Linked DNA regions of Notamacropus eugenii. The protein of the gene in region 2 interacts with the protein of the main gene of each other region in a biochemical or structural test. Links are inferred from orthologs where the notes say so. Each region holds a gene or a part of one and is shown on either strand. Other genes may lie near its edges.

The links.
Region 1: of the proteins of RIGI (region 2) and RNF125, one has a biochemical effect on the other in vitro, tested with the Homo sapiens proteins (3 studies listed by BioGRID and IntAct, with this or other methods). The link is inferred for Notamacropus eugenii from reciprocal best matches to the Homo sapiens genes RIGI and RNF125.
Region 3: of the proteins of RIGI (region 2) and E3 ubiquitin/ISG15 ligase TRIM25-like, one has a biochemical effect on the other in vitro, tested with the Homo sapiens proteins (5 studies listed by BioGRID, with this or other methods). The link is inferred for Notamacropus eugenii from reciprocal best matches to the Homo sapiens genes RIGI and TRIM25.
Region 4: of the proteins of RIGI (region 2) and RNF135, one has a biochemical effect on the other in vitro, tested with the Homo sapiens proteins (6 studies listed by BioGRID, with this or other methods). The link is inferred for Notamacropus eugenii from reciprocal best matches to the Homo sapiens genes RIGI and RNF135.

What each region holds. Positions count from the first base shown.
Region 1 is NC_092875.1:258,756,271-258,763,436, reverse strand, and holds the start of RNF125 (E3 ubiquitin-protein ligase RNF125), read right to left. Parts: upstream 3,014-7,166; 5' UTR 2,910-3,013; coding exon 2,743-2,909; intron 1-2,742. UniProt on the Homo sapiens protein: E3 ubiquitin-protein ligase that mediates ubiquitination and subsequent proteasomal degradation of target proteins, such as RIGI, MAVS/IPS1, IFIH1/MDA5, JAK1 and p53/TP53.
Region 2 is NC_092872.1:122,835,166-122,842,049, forward strand, and holds the start of RIGI (antiviral innate immune response receptor RIG-I), read right to left. Parts: upstream 3,016-6,884; 5' UTR 2,845-3,015; coding exon 2,739-2,844; intron 1-2,738.
Region 3 is NC_092873.1:368,989,274-368,996,809, reverse strand, and holds the start of E3 ubiquitin/ISG15 ligase TRIM25-like, read left to right. Parts: upstream 1-4,519; 5' UTR 4,520-4,615; coding exon 4,616-5,245; intron 5,246-7,536.
Region 4 is NC_092873.1:311,647,902-311,655,759, forward strand, and holds the start of RNF135 (E3 ubiquitin-protein ligase RNF135), read right to left. Parts: upstream 3,016-7,858; 5' UTR 399-3,015; intron 1-398. Other genes in the region: ADAP2 (arf-GAP with dual PH domain-containing protein 2), read right to left, coding at 7,478-7,503.

The DNA.
Region 1 (7,166 bases), on a different chromosome or scaffold from region 2:
AACTACTACCACCCCTACTCCCCCCAAGCTGAAAGCATAATATTTCTAGTATTTCAGGAATACATGCCCATGACACCATATACAAAGGTGAAAAAGATTCTTACTATATCTACAGGCCAAACCCTGGGAATCTCTTCAGCCTGTTTTTATAAGTTGGAGGAGGGAGGAGGGAGCAGAGATTTCAAATACTTCTGTGTTTACAAATCAAATACTCTATGGAACATGCCCTTTAAAAAGTAATTTAATTCTACATATCTCTATCTACATCATATCATAACTTTGCTTAGAAATTATCAGTTCAATAATAGGCCAAATTAAATCAGTCTGTCTTCTTCTACACTCTTCTCCAATTTTCCATTTTCGCATCTATTTTTCAGGCTGTGTTTCCTGAAGTTAGAATGCTTTCCCCCTTGCCTCTTCCCAAGGTAAACTGCTATCCATAGTCTTAAGCCCAATTTAAATGCCAGCTACTCCATGAAAACTTCCTTGATCTTTAGGTAATTAGTAAGCACTTCTCCCCCTCTTCTCCACCCATTGCTTGTGCTAAAAAAGTAAATTATTTTAAAAAAAGATTAGATTCATTAAAAACAAAAACATCTCATACCATCATAACTGAAGCAATGGGTGGGTGTGGCAAAGAAACCCACAGTGACTTGAGCTAAGTTAAGATATCCCAAAATGGATTGGGGTTTTTCCTCACTAGATTTTCAAGGAAAGGCTACATCTAGTTGAAGAGAGGATTCTTGTGAGGAATGGGCTGGACTAGAATACAGCCCACTCCCACTCCCACCCCACAGTTCCTATCCAATCTGGAGACCTTTATGTGGCAAGATCAGTTGGTTGCATATACCCCTCTAGCTAAAACAAACGGCCAGAGTATGTTTTCATCCTTCTTTGTGTTCCCAGGGCACGGCCCTTAAAATTAATGCTCTCTGATTGAATGTGATAGTGGAGTTTGGATGGTAGAATCAAATAATATACTTGGCACAACTGCTGAGCTGTGTGCATCTAAGCACCAGTAGGGATCATAAGTTTAGAGCTGGAAGAGATTGACCTTAGAAGGTCCCCTCACCATACAGATGAAGAATTTGAGATGCAGTGATTTGCCCAAGGTTGCATAGAGCCAGGATTTGAAGTCACACTCTCTGGCTCCAAACCAAGTGAGCTGGCCACTAATTCCTGTTGTTCGGTGGTGTCTGACTCATTACCCCATTTGGAAGTTTCTTTTAAGCAAAGATATTTGAGTGATTCGCCATTTCCTTCTCCAGCTCATTTTGCAGATGAGGAAACTGAAGGAGAAACAGGATTAAGTTATTTGTCCAGGGCTACTAGGAAATGTTTGAAGTCAAATCTGAACTCTACGCCGGGTGCTCTATCCACTATGCCACCTACTTTCCGCTAAACAGCCTACTAAAGGCCAAGAACTTCTAACCTGCATTTCCGATCTGGGCGGCTAGGTGGCGCAGTGCCTAGAGTCAGGACGACCCGACTTCAAACGTGACGCTGGCTTACCGACTGTGTGACCCTCGGCAAATCACTAAACCTCCATCCCTCTCGTCTCAGCTTCCTCATCTGTAAAAGGGGGATAATAACAGCATCTCCGTTCCTGGGTTGTACCGAAGATAGAGGGGGATATCTGTAAAGCTTTTTGTAACGACTGAAGCAAGATATAAGACACATAGATATAGATATACACACATATGCTTACATATGCATATATACACTTATTTAGATTACCCATTAAGGAATTAGAAATCATGTAGAACAACTGACTTATATAAAGCTCAGTCGGAGTAAGTGGTTTGAAAAAACCCACCATTTAACCCCTACTTCCCATTAATCATATTTTTTCTCTTTACTGCTAGAAGACCTTGACCTTTCAGGCTCTTGGTAGTTTCCTTTAAAAAGACTCATCCCCAGCAGGAGGTCTTTTGTTTACGCCAGCTCCCAAACTCGAAACTAACCGCAGCCTAACTTTAACAAAGTAGCAAAGCGAGACACCCGGGCGCTACAACTCCGGTAACTTCACCTTCGGCAGGAGGGAGGGGGGGACAGCGGCGGGGGCTGGGGTCTGCTCCGTCAGTGGTTTTCGCCACAGGAGGAAGCGCTGGGGGCGTTTCAGGACACGTGCGCAGCCCCAACAAAACGCGACCCGTCTGGGTGTCGGGGGCCCAGGGAGGCACAGCGCCAGCCCGGCTCTGTTTACTTGGAGAACTGCGCTTGGCCTCAGCCAGCCACTTCCTACTTGCAAGGTCTAGTTAGGCTTGGCCCTAGATAGACGGTTGCCCTGGGGGGTCCAGAAGACACCGGCAACTCCATGCGGACCCAGAACCGAGCGCGCACCCGGGGCTGGGCTGAGTAGCTACCGCGAGCATCCTGGCTAGCCCCGGAGCACCGTCTAGCGGGACCGGACTGGTCACCGACCCGCTAACGTCCTCAGAGCGCTCAGATTTGACTGAGACGCAGCAAGTAGTCGATCTGGCTCGCCCTCTTTCTCCCAATCTTTGTGCCACCTTCAGACAAGGCACTTTCCCGCAGCCGAGGCCCGCCGGGTCCCGGTTTTACAATACCACACCTCCAGCAGAAGCTCCCCATCGCAGAACGCGGCTTTACTAAGTTACAGCTCTTAATGCTCTCCACTGACCTAGGACAGACCCCTTCTTTCTTCCACCTGGCTTCTTTCTGGCCCGGCGGGCACCGGCCACAGCGATCTCGCACCCCGGGCCGCTCCCCCTCACTTACACGTGGCCGCAGCGGGTCCGTACGGGCTGATGCAGCACTTCGAGGCAGACCGAACAATCAAAGGAGGTGACCGGCAGCTCCACTTCGCCCCTCCCGGGCAGGGCGGACGGGGTGGCCCTGGCAGCCGGGGCTGCTCGGCCGCTGTCACTGCTCAGCGCGGAACCCATCGCCTGCCTCCTCTCCAGCCCGGACAGCTGCTGCTAAGCTGGGTGCCTTCGCTTCAATTGTTTTGTTGTCCTGCGGTTAAGGAAGGAAGTCCCAGCCCAGCTGGGATCGCCGCCTCCCTGCCCCCACAGTCCTGCTCTCCGGAGCCAACCCCCGCCCCTTCTAACCTTCCAAGCCGAGACTTTCGCCAGTAACTCCGCCAGTCAGAAGTTATCCTCTTCCTCCAGCTACCCCCAACCATGGGGAGGAGACGGCGGCCGCAGCCGCGAGCACTGCAGTGTCGTCCGCTCCCAGGAGGCTTGAAACCTGAAACCCGAACCGCACAGAGGAATAGCAGCTGCCCACTGTTAGGTCTTCCTCTCCCAAACCAAGAGGAAGGAGGGATGTGAAGCTTTTTTTAACCTTCGGGTTTCTACTTGCCATTACTCTGTTCAATACATCAGGAACCCTATTCAAGCAAAGTTCAGGGTGTTTGCATACAGTCCTTAACCACTGTGGGGGGTTGAGGCAAACAATTTTTAGCAGTTAATTGTTCTAATACTCCTGAAACTGGAGTTCAAAACCATGACAGGTATTAGTAATTTAGAGTCTAGATGGGATCTATCAGGGTAGACTGCAACTAACTGAGATATTTATTATAAGGCCTAAAATATAAGAACCATATATAATACAGTTCTTAATAACGACATTAACTGCACAGTAAAGTGCTCCTTACTTGAGGGCAGGGACTGATGTGAAGGGGGTGAAGAGGGGCTGTATTTTCAGCACTTAGCACCTTCCCTTGTATGTTCTGTAAATTTTCTTGAATCAGATCTGCAGGAGTAATGGATAAATTTAAAGAGGACAATCATATTGATCCTAGTCTGTCTAAACAAGAACCCCGTCTATAAAACAGCCATCAAACGGACAACTATATATTTGGAAACCTCCAAATAAGGGGGAATCTACCCCTCCCAGGGCATTCTGTTTTACTTTTGAATCCAACTGTTAGGATATTTCCCCCTATATCGGGCCTAATTAAAATGAAATAATATGTATATTTAGCACAGTGTCTGGCACATAATAGGTATTAAATAAAAGCTAGCTACCTATTGACTGATTCTCTTCTCCAGAGAACACACACATACATACATGAGGCTGCTAAGTGTCACAGTGGAATAGGACTCTAAGCCTGGAGTCAGGAAGTTCTGAATTCAAACTCAGTCCCAGATACTAGCTGTGAGGCTGGAAAGTTATTTAACCTCTGTGCCTCAATTTCTTTAACTGTGAAGTAGGTTTAATGATAGTACCTACCTCCCAAGGTTGCTGTGAGGATCAAAATAGCATATTTGTAAAGCACTTAGCACAGTGCCTTACACATAGATACCATTTTATGAGTGATTTTTCTCCTCCTCTCTTTCCTCCTCCTTTTCATCATCAATATTATTCAATATTACTTGACTACATTGGTAAAAACGTGGCCGCAGTGGTCCGTATGGGCTAAGGCTTTGGAGTCCTTCTGACACATATTGTCTCAATGACCCTAACAAATCACAACTTCTCAGTGCTCTGCTGCTTCTGTTGCTGTTTCTCCATGAGGACCATAACATCAGGGAGATGATGCCAGGACATGCAAATGAATTGGATTTAAGTGAGGGAGGGCTGTGCAAAGTCACCAGTTTCTTACCTAGAGCTCCCTTGATCCATGAGCTTAGAGATCTACTTTCTTTTCTGTTCCCTCCCCACTAACACTTCCCTAGAATGTAGACTCCTTGAGAGTAAGGCTTGTTTTCTTCCTTCATAGAGTCTTGTTTGCTTGCTTGATCCTAGCCATCCTCCTCTGGATTGATCTCCAGTTTTCACTGCCCTTCCTAAAATGTGTCTCCAAGAACCAACTGAACACAATCCTGATGATGTGTGATCAGTGCAGAGTACAGTATAATACCACATCCCACATGCTGGAACATGTATCTTTTAAAGCAGCCAGATATCTCATTACAATTAGTTAATTAATAGTTTAAATTATAAACCTGCTTGAAGGCATTTGCTTTATAAGAAGTATCTCTCAAAAAGGTTCTGACCCTGGAAGGTAGTGTGGTATAGTCAGGGGTGCACTCACCAATGTTAAACAGCTGACTCTGGGGGGAAAAATATGAAAGGCACACTTTGAAGTGTAATCTCTATGGTTATAACTTTCTCCTTCGTTTTCTTAAGTCTAGTCTATCAATACAGTAATAAATCTAGCTTTGATTTGTAGCATTTGCCCATTTCCTATTTGAGTATGAACTAACCCATCCTGAAAATTTAACCTCCAACTCTCAAGAGCCTGTTCCAGCACACACCTGGGGTAGTAGATAGAGGTAGCTTCAGAGTCAGTTGGGAAAACAGGTTAAAGTCCTTCCTATGATACTTAATGCACACTAGATATATGATCTTCCTCAAGTCACTTTAACTTCTCAGTGTACCAACAACTCTCCAAACAATGAGTTGTAGGGTAGGTGGAGGCCTGCACTGGTGGAGGCCGCCAGGAATTCCCCATATGGAGGAAATCACAGACCTAGTTAAAAAAAAAAGAGCATATGGACTTTTTGATTGCCACATCACACTGTTGAAGTATATTGAGTTTGTAGTTAATCAAACCCCCCAGATGATACATATTTTGCATCTCTCCCCTTCTCTTTAACTACAAGACCACTACTCTAGTTCAAGACTTCATTGTGTTTTGTTTGTACTATTATGATGGCCTCCTAATTGATCTCCCTGCTTTTAGCCTCTCCTCTCTCCAATCTATCTTCCACACAATTGTCAAAATAATGTTCCTAAAGCATAGATCTGAAGATGTCACTTCTGGCCAAATATGTTCAATGGCTTTCCATCACCTATAGGACAAAATACAATTTCCTGGTCTGGCATTTTAGGTTCTCCACAGTCTGTATCAAACCTGTCTTTTCTGCCTTATTTCATATGATTCCCCTTCACAAATTCTGTCCCAGCCAAACTGGACTGTTTTTTCCTTTCATCTCCAGCATTTCTTCCTCTATCCAGCCCTGCCTCCCACCATACCTGGACCACATACCATTGTTACCTCTACCTCTTAGAATCCTTGTATTTCTTTAGGGTGTACCTCTGGTGCTTTCTCTTCTGTGAAGTTTTCTCTGAGTTTCCCAATTCCCTTTCAAAATTATTTTGCATTATACTTATTTATGTATGTAACACAAATCTCAAAGCCCATTTATATGGGGTTCATCTGTGGAGACTGAATACTCAATGCTTCATGCCCATCTGAGGGGTAGAGTTGGTGAAGACTTCTGGCTTCCATCTTTGGGAGAGAAGATCTGAATTCTCCCCTCCCTTCTCCCTCTCCCACCCATTGACAAGGCAAGAAGAACAAAGTCAGTGTGTGTATGCATGCGTGCGTGCGTGCTTGCGTGCGTGTGGTCATGGAGAACTTGTTTCTTCATCCTTTAGAGTTGAGGTTGCTCATTGTGTTGATCAAAGTTCCTAAGTCTTTCAAAGCTGATTATCTTTACAGTATTGTTATGATATACATTGTTCTCCTGGTTATGCTTCCAAGTGAAGTCTTTTTTGCATCATTCATACAAGTTTTCCTTCCCACCTTTCTTTTCTGCCTCTGGGCTCTTGATTTCAGATTGATTTGTGTCTCTATCCCATGTCTAAGAGGCATTGCTTACTAAAGGGCAAACTGTCAGCGCAGTAGGTAGTAGAATGCTAGTTTAAGATGTTACCCCAACTTGACAGGGTTTGTCTTTTAATAAAGAATTCTGACCAAAAGCAGTGAAGATACAAACTGTTAAATCTCTCAAATACTCCAATAGATCTGTATTCTCATCCATCTGCCTAAAAGGCAATCCATCTTTATCTATCCATGTTGTGAATGTCATTGAATCTAGTCATCCCTTGTTCTTGCCAAGTGACTAAAATGTTTTTTGTCTGCTTTTCTTTTTCTGCTCATGCATTTTTCTGATGGATGAATTTCACCAGTGGAACTTTATAGGGGAGATTCATTGTCCCAAAGTTCCCAAACCATCTACTCTCCCTATTCCTCCTGAGGTCAAACCGTATTTTTTACTTGGAAATGGATTAGCCTCTAAAAATAAAATAAAATAAGTCCTTGTAAGGCCATGAAAAACTTTTACAGCATATCCCCAAGCCAAATTTTCTTGTTTTTCTTTTTCCCAACCTTATCAGCTTACCTGTTGAAGTTTAAAGGGACTGGGACCCCGAAATAGCAACACTCAAGTCCTGCCCAAATGAATTTG
Region 2 (6,884 bases):
TAAGCTTGGGCTACTAGGAGTATTTTAGTGCCTTAGACTATCACAGGGCTTGGGAAGAGAGGCAGAAAGATATTTTGGATATTTTGAGTTTGAGATATCTACAGGTTATCTGGTTCAGTAAGTACAATGAGCATTTGGTGATGAGATTGGAGGTGAGGAAAAAATTAGGGCTGGATAAATAGGTCTGAGAATAACCCATTAGAATTAATGAGATCACCCAGACAGACAGTTAAGAGAGAGAAGAGTACACAGAACAGAACACAGTAAGTATGACTTAGAGAATGTTGTAACAAAACAGTCTAGAAAGCAGTGGTCTGAAAAGTAGGAGAACCAGATGAGGGCAGTGTAGAAGAAACCTAAAGAAGAGAGTGGCTCGGATAACAGAGCAATTGGCACTATCCAAGGCTACAATCACGGGAGGTGGGATGAGTGCTAAAAAAGGTTTGGAAGAGCTGCTGTAGTGAAAGAGATGGTGAATCAGAATTCAAACTCTGACTTCAAATAAAATGTTCTCTTCATGTCATTTTGCTTTTAAGAATTACCATGATATGACAGCTGCCTTCTCCCTACAATCATATGTCTTCCTTTTTCCTGCCCTCTAGCCCAGCTACTCAACTACTTAACACAGGCACCTTGAATGGTCCCTGATTACCTTTGTGTTTGAATTCCCTCCACTTACTGAGTCAAATACTGCCTTGGCCTCCTAGCCTACGCAGCTATTGTCAATGAATATTCAACTATAAGGCAGGTGGGGCAGCTAGGTGGTTCAGTGGATAGAGCACCAGGGCAGGAGTCAGGAGGACCTAAGTTCAAATCTCACCTCAGACACTTGACACTTACTGTGTGACCTTGGGCAAGTCACTTAACCCCAGTTGTCTCATCCTGGCTCATCTCCAATCATCCTGATGAATATCTGGTCACTGGATTCAGATGGCTCTGGAGAAGTGAGGCTGGTGACTTGCACAGCCCTCCCTCACTCAAAGCAAAGTCAAGTGCAACTCATGTCATCATTTCTCTGATGGCATGATCTTTGGCAATGAAGTATGAACACACATAAGGCAAACAGGTGGTATATCAACCAGGAAATGTGGATCAAAAGACAGAAAAGAATTTCTATTAGACATGAGATGCAGTATGATATAGCAGAATGAGAACACTGGATTTAAAGTCAGAAGGACCCTGGGTTGACTATTTTCTATTTATCCTGTATATAACTTCGTCCTCTGTAGTTATTCACATGTTGTCTCCCCTATTAGATTGTAATCTTCTTGAGGACAGGGGCTCTCTTTTTAGCTTTCTTTGAATTCTTGCCCACTTCTCCCCAGCCCTCCCATCCACCTCCAACCACTTAGCATAGTGCCTGGTTCTTAAGAGGTGTTTAATAAATATTCATTGACTGGTTGACTGCTGGGCCCAGTCCCAGCTTTATAAGCTGTATGATTGTGAATAAGTCACTTTAAATTCTGAACCTCAGTTTCTCCTTAGGTGGAATTTGCATTACTTCCCTCAAAGGATTTGTTTGTCCTATGTTGGGGGAAAAGACCATGACATCAGAGAAATGATGATATGACTTGCACTTGACTTTGTTTTCAGTGAGGGAGGGCTGTGAAGATCACCAGCCTCACTTCTCCTCCAGAGCCACCTGAATCCAGTGACCAGATATTCATCAGGATGAGCAGCTGACCCAGGATGCACTGGGAGACCTTGGGCCCCTTAGGCCAAGGTCTTTGCAAGTAATCACTTAGGGTGAGGAAATGCCCATTCATTGCATAGGCCTGTTTAAGAAGAAGCCAGGGCATGGCCCTTTAATGAGGCCAAGAAAAAGAAAGACTTCAGGCTGGGAGGGAAACAGCAACAGTTACTATTGATAATCACCGTAAAGCTAAGAAGGTCCAGAAGAGCCCTTAGGCAGGGGCCCATTGGCAGCTTCAGAGTGCAGTAGGTTTAAGGTTTCAGACAGGATAGCGAAAGGAAGGGGAGGGAAGGGAAGGGGAACGAAACTAGCCAGTAAAACCCAAGTCAACTGGGAATGTTTTGACCATCCAAATTTACCTTTGGAGAGGAGAAGGAAGGGGAGGAGGAGGCAGACAGGAGAGGAGGAGCTCAAGTTACCCAGCTAACTGGGTTCCCATTCAGCCAGCTATACCCACTCACAGGATTGTGTTTGTCCTTTGTTGCCGAGGACCATGCCATCAGAGAAATGAAATGAAAGGAACTGTGACAATCAATCACTATCATTATTATTAAACCGTTATTAAAAATGCATCAAGGGGGAAAAGTTGCCTATAAAATTTACAGTAAATTTGGAAACACACTAACGAATTTATAATTTAGATTGGCCACAAGCAAGCTGTGCAATCTGAGGAGCTTCTTTTTATTTCTCTGGACACTTTTCACAACTTTAAAAGTGAAAGTCTGGACCAGATGGTCTCTACCGCTATTCCCTCGACCTCCCTCCTTTTACCCCGGCCCTTCAACACAAGTAGTGTAACTCGAAGTAGTAACTTCAACAAACTAAAATCAGGGAATAAACCTCACCTCCAGATGTCCCCGGAAACCACCTGCCCCTAACCCTAACCCTAAATGCTGCAGGCTTGCAGATCTGCGTGGCAGAACGGGCTGTTAAGGCTTAAAGGATCGGGTTAGTATCAAAACAACCTAAAGGTCCGAGCTGGGCAAAGGTTGATTCACTGCAGATGGAGGGCACAGCCAACCTGCGGGAAGGGGCAGCATCTCACCTTGCGAGAACCAGTCAGTCATGTAGTCCAAAACATGGGTGGGGTCTAATATGTTCTTTATGTGGTTTGCGAAAAACTCCAGGTTTCTCTTCTCTTCTTCGGTCATGTTATTGTCTCCTTTTTAGCATCCGAGGCAGCTCTACGGGCAAAGGGAGAGGCGTCCCACGAATCTGGGGGACGGCAAAGAGTGAAACAGGGAGTTCACCCAGCTGTCAGGGGAGGGACGGGGATCGGAAGGGTCGAACCGCCCAGAACAGAGCAAGAGGATGGTTCCAGTAAATCAGCTGATAGCAGACGTTGCTGTGAGCTGGGAGGGAAGCTCGTTAGGGAAACAGAAAATCGAAACTGCAACTAACCTTGAAGAAAAGAAACTTAGATTTGTCTCACTCAACAAGCATGGGGTGTAAAAATCCTTAGAAGGCATTTCAAATCTGACAAGAATTTATTAATCACCTATTATAGGCTTAATAAGACAAAAACTGCCCCCCCCTCTGTAAAATAAGGGGGTTAGGAGTAGCCTGTTTAAGCCTTTAATAAAAAAAAAATCATCAGTGTACAATACCTGGCAGGTAGTAAGTACTTAATATCAACGGTTCTGAACCTGGAGTCTGCCAACTCAGCTGTTTTTTCTTCCATGTTTTGATAATCCTATTTCAATATAATTGATTTCCTTTGTGCCTTATCTATTTTATTTTTTATTTTTATTTTTTTAACATTTGAAGACGTTTCTCTGAGAAGGGTTCATCAGGCTGCCAAAAAGGCCCATGACAAGATAATTGTTATGAGATCTTTTATACTCAGAAGAGGGTCAGTCCTCAGTCCTTGCACTCAAAGAGAAGGATCAGGGAAGATTTCATGAAAGAGGAAGCACTTGAGCTGAGTCTTTTTTTTTTTTAATTTTAATTTCTCTAACTTTTCAGTATTCATTTCCACAAAACTTTGGGTTCCAAATTTTCTCCCTATTTCTCCCTTCTTCCCACCACAAAACGCTGAGCATTCTAATTGCCCCTATCACCAATCTGCCCTCTCTTCTAACATCCCTCCCTTCCCTTATCCCCATCTTCTCTTTTGTCCTGTAGGGCAAGATAATTTTCTGTACCCCATTACCTGTATTTCTATTTCCTAGTTGCAAGAACAATACTCAACAGTTGTTTCTAAAACTTTGAATTCCAACTTTTCCCCATCCCTCCCTCCCCACTCATTCCCTTGGGGAAGGCAGGCAATTCAATATAGGCCATATCTGGGTAGTTTTGCAAATGACTTCCATAATAGTCTTGTGTAACCATATTTCCCTCCATCCTATCCTGCCCCCCCATTGCTTCTATTCTCTTTTTTGATCCTGTCCCTCCCCAAGAGTGTTGACTTCAAATTGCTTTCTCCTCTCACTGCCTTCCCTTCCATCATCCACCCCACCCTGCTTATCCCCTTCTCCCCCACTTTCCTGTATTGTAAGATAGGTTTTCATACCAAAATGAGTGTGCATTTTATTCCTTCCTTTAGTCAAATGTGATGAGAGTAAGCTTCATGTTTTTTCTTTCACCTCCCCTCTTTTTCCCTCCACTGAAAAGTCTTTTACTTGCCTCTTTTATGAGAGATAATTTGCCCCATTCCATTTCTCCCTTTCTCCTCCCAATATATTTTTCTCACCCCTTAATTTCATTTTTTAAAGATATGATCCCATCCTATTCAATTTACCCTGTGCTCTCTGTCTGTCTCTCTCTCTCTGTGTGTGTGTGTGTGTGTGTGTGTGTGTGTGTGTGTGTGTGTAATCCCATCAACTACCCAGATATTGAAAAAAGTTTCAAGAGTTACATGTCTTTCCACGTAGGAATGTAAATAGTTCAACTTTAGTAAGTCCCTTATGACTTCTCTTTGCTGTTTACCTTTTCATGCTTCTCTTGATTCTTGTGTTTGAAGGTCAAATTTTCTTTTCAGCTCTGGTCTTTTCATCAAGAAGGCTTGAAAGTCCTCTATTTCATTGAAAGACCATTTTTTCCCCTGAAGTATTATAATCAGTTTTGCTGGGTAGGTGATTCTTGGTTTTAGTCCTAGTCCCTCTGACTTCTGTAATATCATATTCCATGCCCTTCAATCCCTTAATGTAGAAGCTGCTAGATCTTGTGTTATTCTGATTGTATTTCCACAGTACTTGAATTGTTTCTTTCTAGCTGCTTCCAATATTTTCTCCTTGACCTGGGAACTCTGGAATTTGGCCACAATGTTCCTAGGAGTTTCTCTTTTTCAATCTCTTTCAGGAGGTGATCGATGTATTTTTTCAATATTTATTTTGCCCCCTGGTTCTAGAATATCGGGGCAGTTTTCCTTGATAATTTCATGAAAGATGATGTCTAGGCTCTTTTTTTGATCATGGCTTTCAGGCAGTCCCATAATTTTTAAACTGTCTCTCCTGAATCTATTTTCCAGGTCAGTTGTTTTTCCAATGAGATATTTCACATTATCTTCCATTGTTTCATTCTTTTGGTTTTGTTTTGTGATTTCTCGGTTTCTCATAAAGTCATTAGCTTCTATCTGTTCCATTCTAATTTTGAAAGAACTGTTTTCTTCAGTGAGCTTTTGAACCTCCTTTTCCATTTGGCTAATTCTGCTTTTTAAAGCATTCTTGTCCTTATTGGCTTTTGAACCTCTTTTGCCAATTGAGTGAGCCTATTTTTAAAGGTGTTATTTTCTTCAGCATCTTTTTGGGTCTCCTTTAGCAAGGTGTTGACCTGCTTTTCATGCTTTTTTTCCATCTCTCTCATATCTCTTCCCAGTTTTTCCTCCACCTCTCTTACTTGATTTTCAAAATCGTTTTTGAGCTCTTCCGTGGCCTGAGACTATTGAATATTTATTTTGGATTTTTGGGATACAGAAGCCTTGACTTTTATGTCTTTCCCTGATGGTGAGCATTGTTCTTCCTCATCCAAAAGGATGGGAGGAGATATTCACCAAGAAAGTAACCTTCTATAGTCTTATTTTTTTCCCCTTTTTTGGGCATTTTCCCAACCAGTTACTTGACTTTTGGGTCCTTTGTCAAGAGTAGGGTATACTCTGGGGACCTGTAAGATATCAGTTCCTCCAAGGTGGCACAATCAAGGGTGTACTGGTCTGGGTGCGGGGAAGGAATTTTGTGCCCAGAATCTTAGCAGAGTTTCCTCTCCACAGGTACCTGACCTCCAGTTCTGCCAAGCTAGCACTGGGGGTGGGGGTGGGGGTGGGATTCAGTCAAGCTGTGGGGGCAGGGCCACCATTCAGTGGGATTAAGACCAGCTCACTCAGTGTCCCTTGAGCTGAGTCTTGAGACAAGGATTCTGAGAGATGGAGAGGTGAGAATAGAGCTTTAAATGTGTTTTCCTTTCACCTCTTGTCACTTCTACCCTCCAACTTCCTGACAGGTTAGGCTTCCCCACCTCTCCAGATTCTTTTTTGTTTCCTCCTTGAAGTACTTCTTTTCTGTATAAGACTATGATTCTCCACAATTCCCTGGAAAGTCGAGAGGTGTTCTTCAGTTTCTTTCAGGAGACAGACTGATTCTACACTTTATAGCTACATAGCTATTTCTTGGCACTGGCAGAACCAAGAGTACTTTCTCTGGAGGTCAATGCTGAATTCTCCCTGTCTGCCACAGTTGGGAATTTAGTTTCTCAGATTTTTTTCAATATTGTCAGCTACTGTGATGGCTAATACTAGCAGTGAACAGCTGGCCCAAGCTGTCTGTCATGAACATTCACTGAGCATTGTACAGCTCCTGAGAGTTTAATTGCAAAAAACAAAACTTCCTGATTTGCTGTGGATTAGCAGCCATTATAGCATTAGCTGCAGATATTCAAAATTATTAGATCATGCAAAGCCTTAGCACAAACTCACTGCCCATGATCTAAGTTAAGTGTCCTGTGATCTCCCCTTTCTCAAACTCCCACTGAGTAATGACATGCTTATGAATGAATGAAAAGACATTTATTAAGAACATATTCTCAAGTACTATGCTGAACACTGGGAATACAAATAGAAAAGTTAGATAATCCCTGCTCTTGAGGAGTTTACAGTCTAATTGGTAGAGATGACACATAAAGGAAGGATCAGCTGCAGGGCAGGTGGCAATGCCTAGGTGTGGAGAACTGAGTAACCAGACATATGGTAAAGCCTAGG
Region 3 (7,536 bases), on a different chromosome or scaffold from region 2:
TGGGACACCTGCCATCCACATTTAAACTTGCAGGTTGAGTCCTCAAGGACTTTGTAGGTCCACACTCCTAACACCATATAATTCACAAGTTCCCAGCATACATTTGCCTTTGCTTCTTCTAGTCTCTGCTAAGATCCCGCCTCCTGCAAGAAAACTTTCTCAGACCCTTTTAATGCTAGTTCCTCTAAGACTGCCTCCCATTTACACTGTATATATTTTATACATGCTTAGCAGTTTGCATGCTGTCTTCTGCAATAGATTGTAAGCTCCTTGAGCATGGACTGTTTTCAACTTTTATATTTCCACTGATTAGCCCAGTGCCTGGCACATAGTAAAGTGCTTACCAGTAGAAGGTCCAGATGCATCAATTGACATGAAAATTTTATTATAATTTTGCTTTGAAATTTTCACCCCATTTCTATTTTTATTTTTATTTCTTGCCCTATGGGAAAAAATGTGCTGTATCAAGTGACTCAGCTTGGTCCTTTAAGGTATCCTTAGATTTGGATCCTTCTTAATATATGTTTGTTGACTTGAGTCTAGTCAGTCATAGTACATAATTTGCTCAAGACAAAGGCATTTACTGAAATGATATCAGTTACAGCATTTCATAAACCTGGAGAATATTTCCTACAAATATTCAAGGTGTCAGAGGGAAGAAGAAATACCTACAGAGTTGGTAAATGAAGTACACACAAGAGGAATATGGGTCATCAAGATATATTCAAAGTGGGGATTGTAGTGGGGCTGAGGGCACCACTGATGGTTGATGTCCTCCAATTCCTTTCATTAACCTTGGTCTCTCAGGCTCTGCTAGAATCTTATTCAGTGATTGACTACTGACTCCAGCTTTGGGCTAGACTAATATCCTGGTCTATGGTACTATGATGCCTTTCTAGAACAAAATAGAGCCCAAGCCATAAGACCAGTAAGAATGTCATGTCTGGGGACTGCCATCTCTTGAATGCAATCCACTCTCTTAGCAGCTAACTCTTGATTCTTGTCCCTGACACATTTAGCTAGACTTTGCTGGACTCTCTTCTGCCCTGGACACTGGTATATGTTTCCGTTTCAAGTTGCTATTACCATAGGGAAGCATATACCTTTCTTACCCATCCACTGCCATTTTATAATAGGAGCAAGGGGAAAAGTAAAAAGCCACCTCTGAAGCTGAGCTCTTCCTCCATAGTTGTCTTTCTTCTAGACTGACATACCTGGCTAGCTTACTCTACAAATAGTTTCAAAGGTCAGGGCCAATCTTTTCAGTCCATCCCTAGATTTTGCAATGAGTATCAATTACCTTCATGCAATGACTCATGCTCTGTAATCCTACCAGGCTAACTGAGCAACTTCCTACATCCTAAAGGAGTGACCCATACTTAGAGCTATACTTAGGGATGACCCCATATAGTCACACAATTTTGCAAAGGGATTTCCTTTTAATGGAGTTTAAAATTGATTACTTTTCGAAAAAACAAATGGAGCAATGATTTTGGTCATTGTTTCATCATCCCACCTCAAAAGAGATCTCCCTCAAAGTTTGGTTGACCAATGGGGGTGTGCAGAAGCAAGAAGCATTAGGAGATTCTAACTAGGACTTCAAGTTTTGACTCAATCCCACATTATTTTCTCATTTCTTCCCTCCCACTTCCATTCCCTTATTTATTTTTTATGGTATGTATATATCATAGAGGCAGTGTGGCTTTGTGGCTAGAGAGCCAGCTTCCACTCTAAGGAAAATCTGTGTTTAAGCCCCAGCTCTGAAATATGCTAGCCACGTGACCCTGGGCAAGTCATTGTATCTCTGTGTGTTCTAGGTGACTCTTCTTTCTCTGTTTCTCTGTATCCCCAGGGTATAGCAGGTGTTTAATATATACTTCTTGATTTGACACTATAAATAGCAGAGAATGGGCTTCCTTACAATGCAGAGGGAGTTTCCTCACCAAGTGATTCTCTATGTCAGCATTCCCTTACATAGAGATAATAGGATCATGAATCCAGATGGACCTACCCCAATCCTTTCTTTTAGAAATTTAGACATTTTTTAAAGATTATTTTAGAGATATTTAGGGAACTGAGGCTCAGATTAGCAACTCAACAGGGTCAGAAAGGGTTGGAGGGGATCTGAAATCACAGCCCTCTGATGCCCAAGCTAGTGTTCTCTCCAGTGTAACATAGCTAGCTGCCTCCTATTCCATCAAGGCAGGGAAGAAGTCCTTTCTTGGATAGATTTCTGCATACATATGCCCAGGAAAAGACATGAGAAAAGGATGAAAAATGGACTGAAGCAAAGATACCCCTTTCCCAGTTTAAATGGGCTGCCTAGAAACAAAACCAGCAGTATTAGAAGTAAGGGAGAAGTCTGAACTACACAGTGAAGAGTTTTGGGTCTGGAGTCAGAGAAATTTTAATCCTGACTTTGCCACATACAACCTGTACACCATTGAGTGAATGGCTTCACCTCTCTGGTACCAAGTTTCCTCTGGGTACAATGAGGAAGCTGGATGAAGTGGTTTATTCTAAGTGCACCTCCAGTTCTAAATCACAGGCATAACCTGAGTTACTAGGGAGGAGGTTTGGGATGGCAAAAGAGTACAAGGCTGGGAAAGTCCTTGCTGGCCCAGGGTGGAAAAGACTGTCAGGGATTGGTTGGGGTCTCCAGACTCCACTTTGTAGCAATTCACAGAACAACTGAGTGAAGCCATCTCTTCCTTTCCTTAGCCTCCCATTGGGCAGATGGATCTCTGCCATTAGGGTTGTTATTTTGTGCTGAGGAGTTGTCCTAATCATTCTTCCTCTGTTGAGGTAACGGCTGGCTCAGTGAAGAGACCCCTGACCAGTGGGACATCTCGAGTCTCAGGCACGCAGTGATGAGGCGGGAGACAGAGATGTAGCAAGCTCCGTTTATTATTAGCAAGTACAAGCCTTATATACTGTTCAGCCTTTTAAGTTCCATACTTGTGGCAAGCTAGTGATACATTTACCTCCTTAAGGTACAGATACCAGTCTCACGACTGCCTTAGAAAGTCTTAATAAGTACCAGAATGTTTACTCAAGACTGAGAGAACTGGGACTATTGTGTAGGGTTCCGGAGGGCCGAACCAACAACCTTTGCTCCATTTGCACAATCAAGTGGGCTTATCAGGCCATCATGTGCTCCTGAAACCGTTGTGGACCTCTAGGGTTCCCTACATTCCTCCAACCTATGAAAGCATAGTAAAAGCCTCCCTCTTTAGCTCAAGAGAAATATTAAGGAATAATATTTCTCCAACCTAAAAGTCTTTCAGACTTTCCCTTTAAGAGAATGGGTAGAAGAAAGGTTAAAGGACTGGATTAAGAATGAGAGCCAAATTTAATTTAGGTTGAAATAAGAACCTAGCATCCCCCTGACCTGCAGTGAATGGCACTGCACCTAAGGGCAGTGTCCTCTTTTCCATTCATGATTAAGGTATAGATGGAGGCTGGGAGGGAGAGGAGGGGGAAGTAGGAAGTAATCTTTTTCAATCCTTGAAAGGAAGGGTCCAAAAAGGAAGTGAGTAGTGACTTCTGGAAAGGTAATCCTAAACTGTGCTTTAATGCATTGTGATCTTCTGCTTGTTCAAGATTTCTATAAATTCTACCCCATGTCATCTTGTGGTACAGAGATGTATCAGAGTATATGACAATATGGACAACTCTCCCTCTCTCCAAGGTGGAAATGCCTTAAAGTCCTTCATAACTTGGCTCCCTCCCGTTTCTCTAGTCTCCTGACATTCACTCCCCTGTGCATACAATTCGATCTAGTGACAAGGGCTTCCTCGATGTTGCTTGCAGGGGATGCTCCATCTCTGAAGTTCGCATTTTCATTAGTGACAGCCTCCTTGCCTGGAATGTTTTCCCTCCTCTTGCCTTCCTTAAATTCAAGCCCTACTTTCTGCAAGAAGCCTTTACCACTCCCCCTTAAGGTTAGTGCTTTCTCCTCGCGATTACCTATATGGATATAGAGAGATAGTGTATTTATCTACATACACACGCATATATTGTGGTCGTCCTTCCTTGCCAAAGAGGGCCATGGCATCAGAGACATGATGACATGACTTGCACATGACTTCGTTTTGAGTGAGGGAGGGCTGTGCAGGTCACCAGCCTCACTTCTCCTCCAGAGCCATCTGAATCCAGTGCCCAGATATTCCTCAGGATGCCTGGCGAAGACCCAGGATGCGCTGGGGGACCTTGAGCCCTTTGGGCCATACGCATGTATAGGCGGCATTAGAATATACTCTCTTCAAGAACAGAGATTGTGGGTTGTTTTGAATTTTTATTTTTCCCTTTCTGTGTATCCCTAGCGTTTAGGGACATCGTCTGACACATAGTGGGTGTTTAATAAACGTCTGTTGGATTCGCTAGAGCACGTCAATGAAACACAACTCTTTCTGGCTTGCGTGTCTCAAAGGCGGAATGTTGATATTTTCCTTCCACAACCCCCAGGGCCAGCCCGGCCCTGCAACTCCTCCCCACTCCCCACGTGATTTCCCGTAACTCTCGGGGTCCCCTCCCCTCCGGCTAGTTTCATTTCTTTCTCCCCCGAGCCCGGAGAGTTTCTTTTCTTCCTCGAAGGCGTCGGGAGCGGAGCGCGATGGCCGAGCTGGAGCCCCTGGCCGACGAGCTGACCTGTTCCATCTGCCTGGAGCTCTTCCAGGAGCCCGTTACTATCCCGTGCGGCCACAACTTCTGCTCGCCCTGCCTGGACGAGGCGTGGGGCGGCCAGAGCTCCAGCTTCTACTGCCCCCAGTGCCGCCAGTGCTTCCGGGAGAAGCCCCAGCTGAAGAAGAACACGGCGCTGTGCGCGGTGGTGAAGCAGGTGCAGCAAGCCCAGAACCTCCGGGATTCGGGGCAGCCCCTCGGTGCGTCCCGAGATGGCGAGTCCTCGGACCTGCCGTCCGCGAAGTGGGCGCAGGCGAAGGAGGACACCGCCGGCAGCGTGGCCTGCGACTACTGCTTGCGGGCTCCCGCCGCCCAGACGTGCTTCACCTGCATGGCATCCTTCTGCCAGGAGCACCTGCGGCCGCACCTGGACAACCCGGTGTTCCTGAGCCACGACCTGCAGCCGCCCGTCCCAGACCTGGCCAGTCGCAGGTGCCCCGAGCACAGCCGCCTCCGGGAATTCTTCTGCTCGCAGCACGGCGTCTGCATCTGCAGCGTCTGCCTGGTGGGGCACAAGACCTGCTCCCCGGTGGCCCTGGACGTGGCCAGGACCCAGCTGAAGGTGGGCAGAGGGGGAGCGGGGAGAGGTCCGGCGGGGGGGACGCCTGGCAGCGGTTCGGGGTTAGCCTCAGGCCCCTGCGGGATACCGGTAGCTGCGGCCCAGCTAAGTTTCAATTTCCCGGGGCCGGGATTAGTTTCTCTTTCCTCCCTTTCCTTCTCTTTCCTTCGAGCCTTCCGAGGGAAGAACCTGTAGTTCAGCCAAGAAACAGGTAGGGGGCTTGTGGATGTGGGGGTTCAAGAGAGAGGTTCGAGAATCTAGGGGCACCTATTCTCCGCCTACCTGGGCGGCAGGGGCGCTTGGGTCCCTTTTCTGTGCGAGTGTGTCAGTTTCTTGGTCTGTAGGAGGAGGCGAAGTCATTCCTGCCCGGTACCCAGACTTGTTAGGAGAAAAGGCCACAGTCCACGAGAGAGGGCTTCCTTGAGGGGGTTCAAGCCCTGCCTCCTCTATAGTGGCCGTGTCACCCTGGGCAAGTCTCCTATTCCCCTCCGTGCCCTGGGTAATTTACAGATTGCTGGGAAAATGCTATTTTGCTTTGCTAGCGGGAAATTCCTTCCCCAGAATTTTTTCAGAGAGGTCCTAGGTGGATCCGGGGTCCCTCCCTCCCTATGGTCAGTATTGCTAAATCTGGGGAACCGAAGGTCCCAAGGTTATTTTGAAATATGTGATGGGGAGTGAGAGGAGGGTCTCCTTTAGTTTCCCAGTGGCCCGGATTGAAGTGACTGCCCTAAAACCGTGAAGCTGAGATGAGAAACTTTGTTTCCTTCAGTCTTTATTGGGTAATAGATTTTAGAGAGCTGGGATTTCAGAAGGCATTTAATCCACCCTCATTATTTTACAGATGAGGGACTGAGGTCAAATGACTTGACCAGGGTGACACAGGTAGCAAATGTTTGAAGTGGGAATTGAACTCTGGTCCTCTTACTTGGAAGCCAGGGTTCTTTCTCCTATTGCTTTCAATCTTCTGGTAAAACCAGAGGATTAGCTTAGGTGATCCCTAAGGCTCCTTCCAGTTCTAACTCCTATGATCAGAAATAGAGAATCAACCAGGCTTACTGTAAATCTATGTGTCTGTCTGTCTCTCTGTGTGTCTGTCTCACACTGTCTCTGTCTCTTTGTCTTTGTCTCTCTCTACCAGGCCAAAAATGCCTCAGAACTTCTCTCTGTGGTGTTTTGTTTTGTTTTTTTGGACATTATCTGTTGTATCTTGTAGTAAAAAGCGTATGCTCCTTGACATCAGGAACGCTTCTGGTTGTTTTTCTTTGTGCCTGAACCTCCTGGGATGTAGTAGTAGGAATCTAAAGATTCTTGAATTGAACCATGATGAGGTCTTTCAAGCCCAGAGCATTTTTGTAAAGTCTTCGAACCTTATGAACTCTAGTCATCATGTACTCTCCCTTTTTTCTTTTCAAAAATATTTTTATCATTTGTTTTTTAACATTCATTTTTTAAAATGTCAAATTCTAAAATCTTTTCCTCCTTCCCCCAGCCCATCTGAAACCCATTGAGAAAGCAAGCAACAAAACCCATTATACTTGTGAAGTCATGCAAAAAGATACCTTTTCCTTTTTAATGATGAAAATTGGTTCCACCATACACATTACTTTTTCCTTAATCTGAATCTTCTTGGGGTTTTGAGGAGGTTTTTGGTGGCAGCATTTTTTTAAAATAATATTTTATTTTCCTCCCTGTAAAGACAGTTTTTAACACTCAATTCTTAAAAATTTGAGTTTCTAATTTTTTCTATCCCTTCCTCACCTCCCCCTTCCCTGAGTTGTTAAGCAATTTGGTATAGGTTATACATGTTCAGCGCTGCAAAACATATTACCATGTTAATCATATTGTGAAAGAAGACACAGACCCAAAGGAAAAAAAACCATAAAAACAATATAGAAAGTGAAAAATAGTATACTTGCATCTGCATTTGGAATCAATCAGTTTTCTCTGCAGGTGAATAACATTTTTTATCATGAGTCCTTTGGAATTGTCCTGCATCATTGTATTGCTGAAAAGAGCCAAGTCATTGATCATGACAGCTGATCATTGTACAGTATTGCTATCACTGTGTACGTGTTCTCCTGGTTCTGCTCAGTTCACTCTGCATCAGTTCATACAAGTCTTAACAGGTTTTTCTGAAATCAGCCTGCTCATCATTTTTTTATAACGCAGCAATATTCCATTTACCACAACTTGTTCAGCCATTTCTCAGTTGATGGGCCACTCCTCAATTTCCAGTCCTTTGCTACTACGAAAAAGTAGTTGCAGTTAAAATTTTTGAGTTCCAAATTCACTCC
Region 4 (7,858 bases), on a different chromosome or scaffold from region 2:
AATGTCAGAATATGATTGCATCAATAGAAATGACAAGAAGATGCATTGTCATCTGTTTTACCACTGTTCCCAAATGAACAGGAGGCATTTTTATATGATTTGAAGACAAAATTTCCAATACAAGATCTGTCATCTCTTCCCATTAGAATGTGAACTTCACAGATGAGGGACTATCTCCATTTTCTATTGGTATCTAGCACTTAGCATAGTGGTTTACACATGGTAGGTACTTACCATATGATTTGTCATTCATTCATTCATTAATCAATGGGTGAATTGTTGTCTAATCACTGGTTAGATGATATTAAAGAGATGGTTACTGGCTGATTGATATTGGGGATATATTGATGGGGACTTGTGAATGATAACATCAGAGAAGAGATCCCTCCCATACACACCTCATTATCCCCTCTTGAAAGAAGTTGGTTGTTGTCCTTCATGCTCAGAGAACCAAAATGACATCACCATGATAAAGTGAAGTTTCAGTATGTCCGACTGTGGCTGATCAGACCAACAGGAGCTCAGAATGCTCTACCACAAGTTGGGCACAGATAGTCTGTGTGAACATTTGGGGTGGTTACTCCAAATCTGCACTTCCTACATTTTCTTTGTGCTGTTTCAATTCTGCTTTGCTCATAGAGCACAGCACCTTTTCTGATGTAGGCATGCCATGCTGAGTGGTCCTGTGCCAGTGTTTCCCATGTCCCACAATCAAATCCAAAGTTCTTGAGATAGACCTTGAGTGTCCATATATTGCTTTTCCTGATCGCCATATGATTGCCTGCCCCATGCGAGTTCTTCTTGAAAGTAGTAATCAAGTTCTGGGGACCTGACCCCCATTAAGGGTGAGAATCAGGAGAGTAAGCCCAGAGCCTCTAAAACCTGAATTCCCAGAGAACTCAGTACGTCCTATTAACTATATCAAATAGTAAGGAAAGTTAAAAAGCAGAAACTGTAAATCCTGTGCCCAACTGCCATAGCCTCATGGATGAGTCAAGTCATTGCTGGTGCCATTTTGTCCCCAGTCCATCCCCTTTCCAAAAGGTGGTATGAGAAGGAAACAGAGGATGACTGGCCAGGAGGCAATGGGCCAAGATAATTGTACCCTACTGTCCCATATGCCTAGGGCCTGCCCACACTTTCCACACCCTTGGCTTCCTCTGCCAAGAATGAAATCAGAGAGAGAAAAGGAACCTTTTACCAAATGTGTGTGTGTGTGTGTGTGTGTGTGTGTGTGTGTGTGTGTGTGAGAGAGAGAGAGAGAGAGAGAGAGAGAGAGAGAGAGAGAAAGAAAGAAAGAGAGAGAGAGAGAGAGAGGACAGGGGACTAGGCAATTACCTAGTTGGAGATCCAGCAGACATGAGAAAATAAGCAAGATCATTAGAAGCAATTACTGTAGAATCAGCACCAGAATTACAATGTTGAGATTATCACCTGACTCTGGGGCTAAGATTTTTGTCTAGTCAGAGCCTGATTTTCTGAAAGTGTCAAAGGGACACACCCAGGATGGTGATCTCATTCCCCACTCTCCTACCTTGGGGGAGCATGTAGTGATTCCAAAGCTGGTCTCTGTTTCTTTAAAGTTTATTGCATGTTTCTGTTTATGCAGTCTTTAAGAGCCAGCATTAAAATAAAACCATGATTAAACTCTGCATTATTGATCTATATGTGCCTCAGTTGTTCAAAGGCAGCTGAGAGGGAGGCAAACACACACACACACACACACACACACACACACAGAAATAGATTTCTTTCTAATCAGAAGGGATTTTCTCAGCTAGTGTATCAAAGCTAATCAGAAAGGGATATTATTGTTATATGTTTTTCTAGCTTCCTCAATGCAGAGAACAAGTAAATTTATGCTCACTTAGACAAAGAATGAGCTCCATTCAGCTTGCAAAATTCAATTTGATCTTCCTAATGTACAGATCTGACTATGTCACTGCACTCCCCCATTCAATAAACTCCAGTCGCTCACTTACCTCAAGGATCAAATGAAAATCTCTGTTTTGTTTTTAAAGTCCTTCATGACCTGACTCCCTCATACCTCTCCAGTTTTCTTATACCTTTCTCACCTCCACATATTCTTCTATCCACTCACTGACCTCCTGTTTCTTGGACATTCTATCTACCAACATTGAACATTTTCAATGGCTGCCCCTTATATCCATCCTCATCTCCATATACATCCTGGTTTCCCTTGCCCTGAGTACATCAGCATTTCCAGAGGTAGAGGCTATGGGCAGGAATAACAGTAGCAGCAGATGCAACAGTTTCAGCAATTCTCACCCACCCAGAGACAGGAGTTCTCACTGACCAGAGACAAAAAGGGGCTTGGATAACTGATCAGAAAGAGATCTGAGGAAACACGGCTACTAAGCTCAGGAGTGGGTGCTGCTTGGCAACTCCATCACCTATTACCCAGTTCTGGGACACAGTTCCAGAGTGGAGAGGAATGTTTACGGTCACAGGGAGCAAGGGTCCTGGTTTCAGTTCCAGGGCGGAGAGAGATCAGGGCCCTAAGTTTTGGTAGAAGTTGTAGATTGAAAAAGAGGAATGTTACTGCTTGTGGTTGAATGGGAGCAGGGGCCCTTCTGAGTAAGGAGCAGAATGCAGATGACCCCATCTCTTCCCTGATTACACCACCTTGGAAGCACAGAAAAGTTACAGACTCCCAGACCTAGCTGTTAAAACAGCAAGGCAAAAAGTCCTGAAGGTCTAGACAGTGATATCCCTCCTCTCCCATGGGTGAACAGAGTCAACTCTAACATAAAGCTGAAAATCAAGAAATAGGCTTGAGAAATGAGCAGACAAATAACCACAAAAAGAACCTGACGATCAAAAGCTATTATGATGACAAGGGAAGTTCAAGACACAAACTTAGAAAAAGTCAATAACGTGAAAAACATCTACAAACAAAGCCTCAAAGAAAATGCAGATTGGATACAAACCAACAAGAATTCCTAGAAGCACTAAAGAATTTTTTTTTTAAAAAAAAAGAGAAAAAGTTTTATTTTTTAAATCAAAAAAGAAAAGTTGAGGGGAAATTGGGAAAAGAAATTAGGGCAATGCAAGAAAATTATGAAAAGAGAATTAATAGATTGTTTAAAAGAGGGACAAAAATACTAAAGAAAATAACTACTTAAAAAGAAAAATTGGTCAAATGAAAGAGAAGTACAAATTCTGGGCATTTTCAATTTTTGTACCCCATGCTTGGAATTCCCTCCATAATCATCTCTAGATTTTCCTGACTTCCTTGAAGTTCTAGCATCACTGAAGAAAATAATTCCTTGAAAATTGGAACAAGTTAAGTAGAAGCCAATGATTCCATGAGGCATTAAGAAATAATAAAATGAGGTCAAAAGAATGAAAAAAAAAGGAAAATATGAAATATCTCATTGGAAAACAACTGTCTTGGAAAATAGATTGAGGAAAGACAATTTAATAATCATTGGACTACCTAAAAGCAATAATTTAAAAAAGCCCAGCCCATATTTTGAGAAATTATAAAGAAAAATTGACCTAATATCGTAGAAGCAGGATGCAAAATAGAAACTGAAAAATCCATTGATCACCTCCTAAAATAGATCCCAAAATAAAAATTCTCAGGAATATTACAGCTAAATTCCAGAGGTCTCAAGTCAAGGAAAAATCCTCAAAGCATCCAGAAAGAAATTCAAATATCATATAATCCCCACAGTCAAGATTACATAACATTTAACAGCTACACAATAAAGGAGTGGAGGATTTGCAGTGCGGTATTCTGGACGACAAAGAAACTAGGATTACCACCATGAATAATTTACTTTAAGGCTATCCTGATGAAAAGACAAAAGCTAAATAGAAAATCTGACATTCAAATATAAGACTCAAGAGAAGCATAGAAAGGTAAACATGAGTGAGAAATAATAAGAAATTTAGTAAACTTTACCTCCCTATATGGACTATACATGAATATTAACTATTTAAAATCACTGTAGACAATCTTGTGGTGAGAAAAATTCCGAGAGACAAACGTTCTGGGTAATAAGAATTGATTTATTAAATAGGTCACAGCCAATAATTAAGTTAATGATCAATGATTGAGTAATCAAAGATGTGAAAGGGAAACTGAAACACCTTAATTCAGATGTGTTCCTTCTGACAGGGAATTTTCCTGACAAATGAAACTCAACCCTAATTGATGGACATTTAATAAGGAGGTGGGCTAGAACTCCTCAGCATCTCCCAATCACTTCATAGTAGAGGAGGAGCAGAAAGGTCAGCTGAGAATGTGACCTGATTGTGAGGTATGAGCCCCCTTTACCAATGTGGGTACCCTGATCAGTTTCTCTCTAATTTGGTTTCTCCTTCATGAGCTGGGTCACCCTACACTCCAATGAAGGGCTTAATGAACTAGAGAAATAATTACTATTATTTCCTCCTCTAACAAATTAAGGGTTTATATGAAGAATCTCTAAATTTCCTTTCAGCTTTAAAAATTCTCAGATTGATTGCTTGCAGTCTTGGGGAGGAGTGAAAGGGGAGAGACAGGAGGAAGGGAGAAAAAAATTGGAACTCAAAATCTTATAAAAGTAAATGTTGAAAACTATCTTTATATGTAATTGGACAAAAATACTATCAAGTGGGGGAAAATATTTTAAAATAAAGGTAAGAATTCTCTAATTTGTTTGTGATAGCTTCCCTGCCCTGCCCCAGTCAGCCAGTCACCAAGCATTTATTAAAGGACTACTGTGTGCTGGGCACTGTACTAAACTCTGGGGATACAAAGAAAGGCAAAAGACAGTGTCTACTCTTAAGGAATTCAGTCTCATGGGGAGACAACATGCAAATAACTATGTGCAAACAAGCTATGAACAAGACAGATTGAAAATAATCGACAAAGGGAAGGCACTAGAATTAAGGTAAATCAGTAAAGGCTTCTAAAAGAAAGTCAGATTTTAGCTGAGACTTGCAGGAAGCTGGGGAAACTGGGAGGGGAAGTCAGAAGGAAAAGTATTCTAGGCCTGGGAGATACAGTCAGTCAAAATACCCAAAGCTGAGAGACAGACGGGCTACTTTGAGTGAGAACAATGAGGTCAGCGTCACTGGTGGGCACAGGATGAGACAGGGAATAAGGTGTAAGGCTGTAAAATGGGGGGGGGGAGTAGTTATGAAGGGAGTTTTTTAATTTTTTTGTATTTGCTTATGGAAGTGTTTGGGAGCCTCCCCCATGTTTCCCATGGTGTTACATTAAATAATGGCTCACATTTAACATACACCACTTTAAGGAGATGGTGTGATGCAGTAAAAGGGGGGCTGGGTTTGGAGTCATAAAGGCTGGGTTTGTATCCCAAGCCTCTTCCCCATTACCTGTGAGACCTTGGATCAGTCCCTTAATTTCCTTAGCTGCATAATGAATTAGAGGAGGTGGCTGCTAAGGATCCTTTCAACTCAAAATCTGAGACCTTACAAGGTTTGCAAAGAGTGACATATTATGTCATTAGATGAAATAAGGTGCCATTTACTTAGTTTGCCTTATTTAACTCTCAGGATCCTGGTAGTTAGTTCAATAAATATTTATTGTGTCTTTCTATGTGAACAAAAACCAAAGACTGCACACTGAGCCACACATGGCCCACCCTACCCCCCTGGCAGACACTGAAAATCGAAAATGAAAAACTGACTCAGTTGTTCAAGGAAGCATTTTCCAGCATCCTCTGAGTCTCTTCCTTCCTTCACTTCCAAACCTAAGAAGGCTACAACGGGAAGGCTGCTAAGTAAGAAATTTTGTTGAGGGCAGCACTCCCCCCTCTGGAGAACGTGATCTAGTCTTCCAGAATCTCCTAGCTTCAAAGAGTAAAGTGAAGTGAGGTTTTCATTACACCTAGAGGCAGCTTGTGCATTTGATCTATGACCTCGGCCACAGTCCAAAGTGGCTGTTTTTGCATCTTGGGAAGCCGCAGAAAATTGAACCTAAATCCATCTATTTAAGATAAATTCAGTTGTTGGGGAGGAGGAAAGACCTTGGGACACAAGGTTCTGTGGATACACCACCCTATGTATATGTGGGAGAATCAGAAACCCAGGGTGGAGACCTCAGGAGGATCAGGGTAAGCTCCCGCTGAAGGAATCAGTATAATGCACCAGAAGGGAAGAGTCTCACCTCATGTATGTGGGTACTGGTGGGGAAAACACAATCTGGTGGCTTCCCATTTTAACTAATTAATCTTACTAACTAGATGCTAAGACTAGCTGGTTTCACCTCCTGAAGAACTTCAAGTGTAACTGGCACGCTCTAAATTTTGATGCCCTAGGGAAAAATCCCAATCTCCCCATTCTAGTTATGCTTTTATCTGTTCTATTTTCAGCAGATGTTAGATGTGCTGTGATATCATCAGTTTTGAAATCCCCTGGACACCCACAACTGCTGCTATCACTTAGCATGTATTTGAGTGATCTGAGACAATTTTAAAGTGTGCCTGCAAAATATAATTAAATGTTATCTACTCTTGATTTTTTTATGGATTCAGGGTCCAGATTCTCTGCAGCCAGCAAGCACTCCACTCTCTTAGCATCATTGTTCTCCATGCCTTCATGGTACCAAGTGAGCTGTGCCCTCAAAATTTTTCTGCATAGTATCCAACTTATTCTATAACTCAACTTATTCTACAATCCCATTATCTACTTATTCTGTATGGTATCCTCCATAGCCCAATGCTATGTGCAAATATCTGCTTAACAAATGTGCTTTCAGAAGGAGGAGGAAGGAGGAAGACAATGCTCAACTGGTGAGACTCTCTTCTGCCCTGGATAATGAAGACTGTAGATGGCAAGAGAGATCCCTCAAGTTTACTGAAGATCTCTAAGCAGGACAGGAGAGCACCAGACAGGTTTCTGATTTTGTCTGGGACAGAAGAAACATAAGCCCCAGAGGTTCAGGCATCAAGGAAAGAGTTTGTAGCCCTGCAAGGTGGGGAGTGGGGGGATGGTGTGCTGTTTTCAGCTAGTTTCCTGCTTCTTAGATGTGGCAATCATTGCGGGATTGGATTCTGGCATTACTTATGTTCTTATTGTCCTTAGAGTCTCTGCCACTTAACTGGTAAAGGGAAGAAATCTACTCAGTCACCATCAAGATTTACAGAGACCAAGGGAAAGAATGGTGAGGAAACACCCAAGGGGAAGTATTGGGAGGCAGAGCAAATTTTCATCTGTTATAGCTGTTCATCCTTCATTTGAGAAGACCACAAAGGTGATGTCTTGACTTGCGCATGAATTGGGTTTAACTGCTGTCTTGCCTTTTGTCTTGTCTGATTTCCATCTAGAGCAAAGCCTGAGACAAGAAAACCACTGACCACAGTTTGTCTTCTTCTAGTCCTTCCTGCTACAGACAGAGGTTATGCCCCAAAAGTGAACTTCTCCTTCCTGAAGTGACCACCTGACAGGTCAAAGTCAAAGTTAAACATGGTGAGAATTGAGCAAGTCAGCGAAGTCCTTGTCACCTCTGTCCAGTGGCTGCTGTTGCTGCAACAGAAGGAAAAGAGAGAATAATGGGGATCTTGTATATAGAAATGACTGTGGCAAAGTAGAACTACCACTAGTGAGACAGAAGGAAAGAGAAAGGGAGAAGAGAGAAACAGAGAGAGAGAAAGAGAGAAATTGAGAGAGTGGGGAGAGAAAGAAAAAAAGAAAAGAGGAAAGAGAGAAAGAAAGGGAGGGAGAGGGGAAAGGGAAAAAGCTGTAAAGGCAGAAAGAGCGAAAGAGAGATGGAAATAAGGGGAGATAGGGAGAGAGAAGAAAAAAGAGAGGAAGAGAGGTGGAGAGAAACAGAGAGAAAGAAAAAGAGAGGAAAGAGAAAAAGAAATGGAGGGACGGAGAA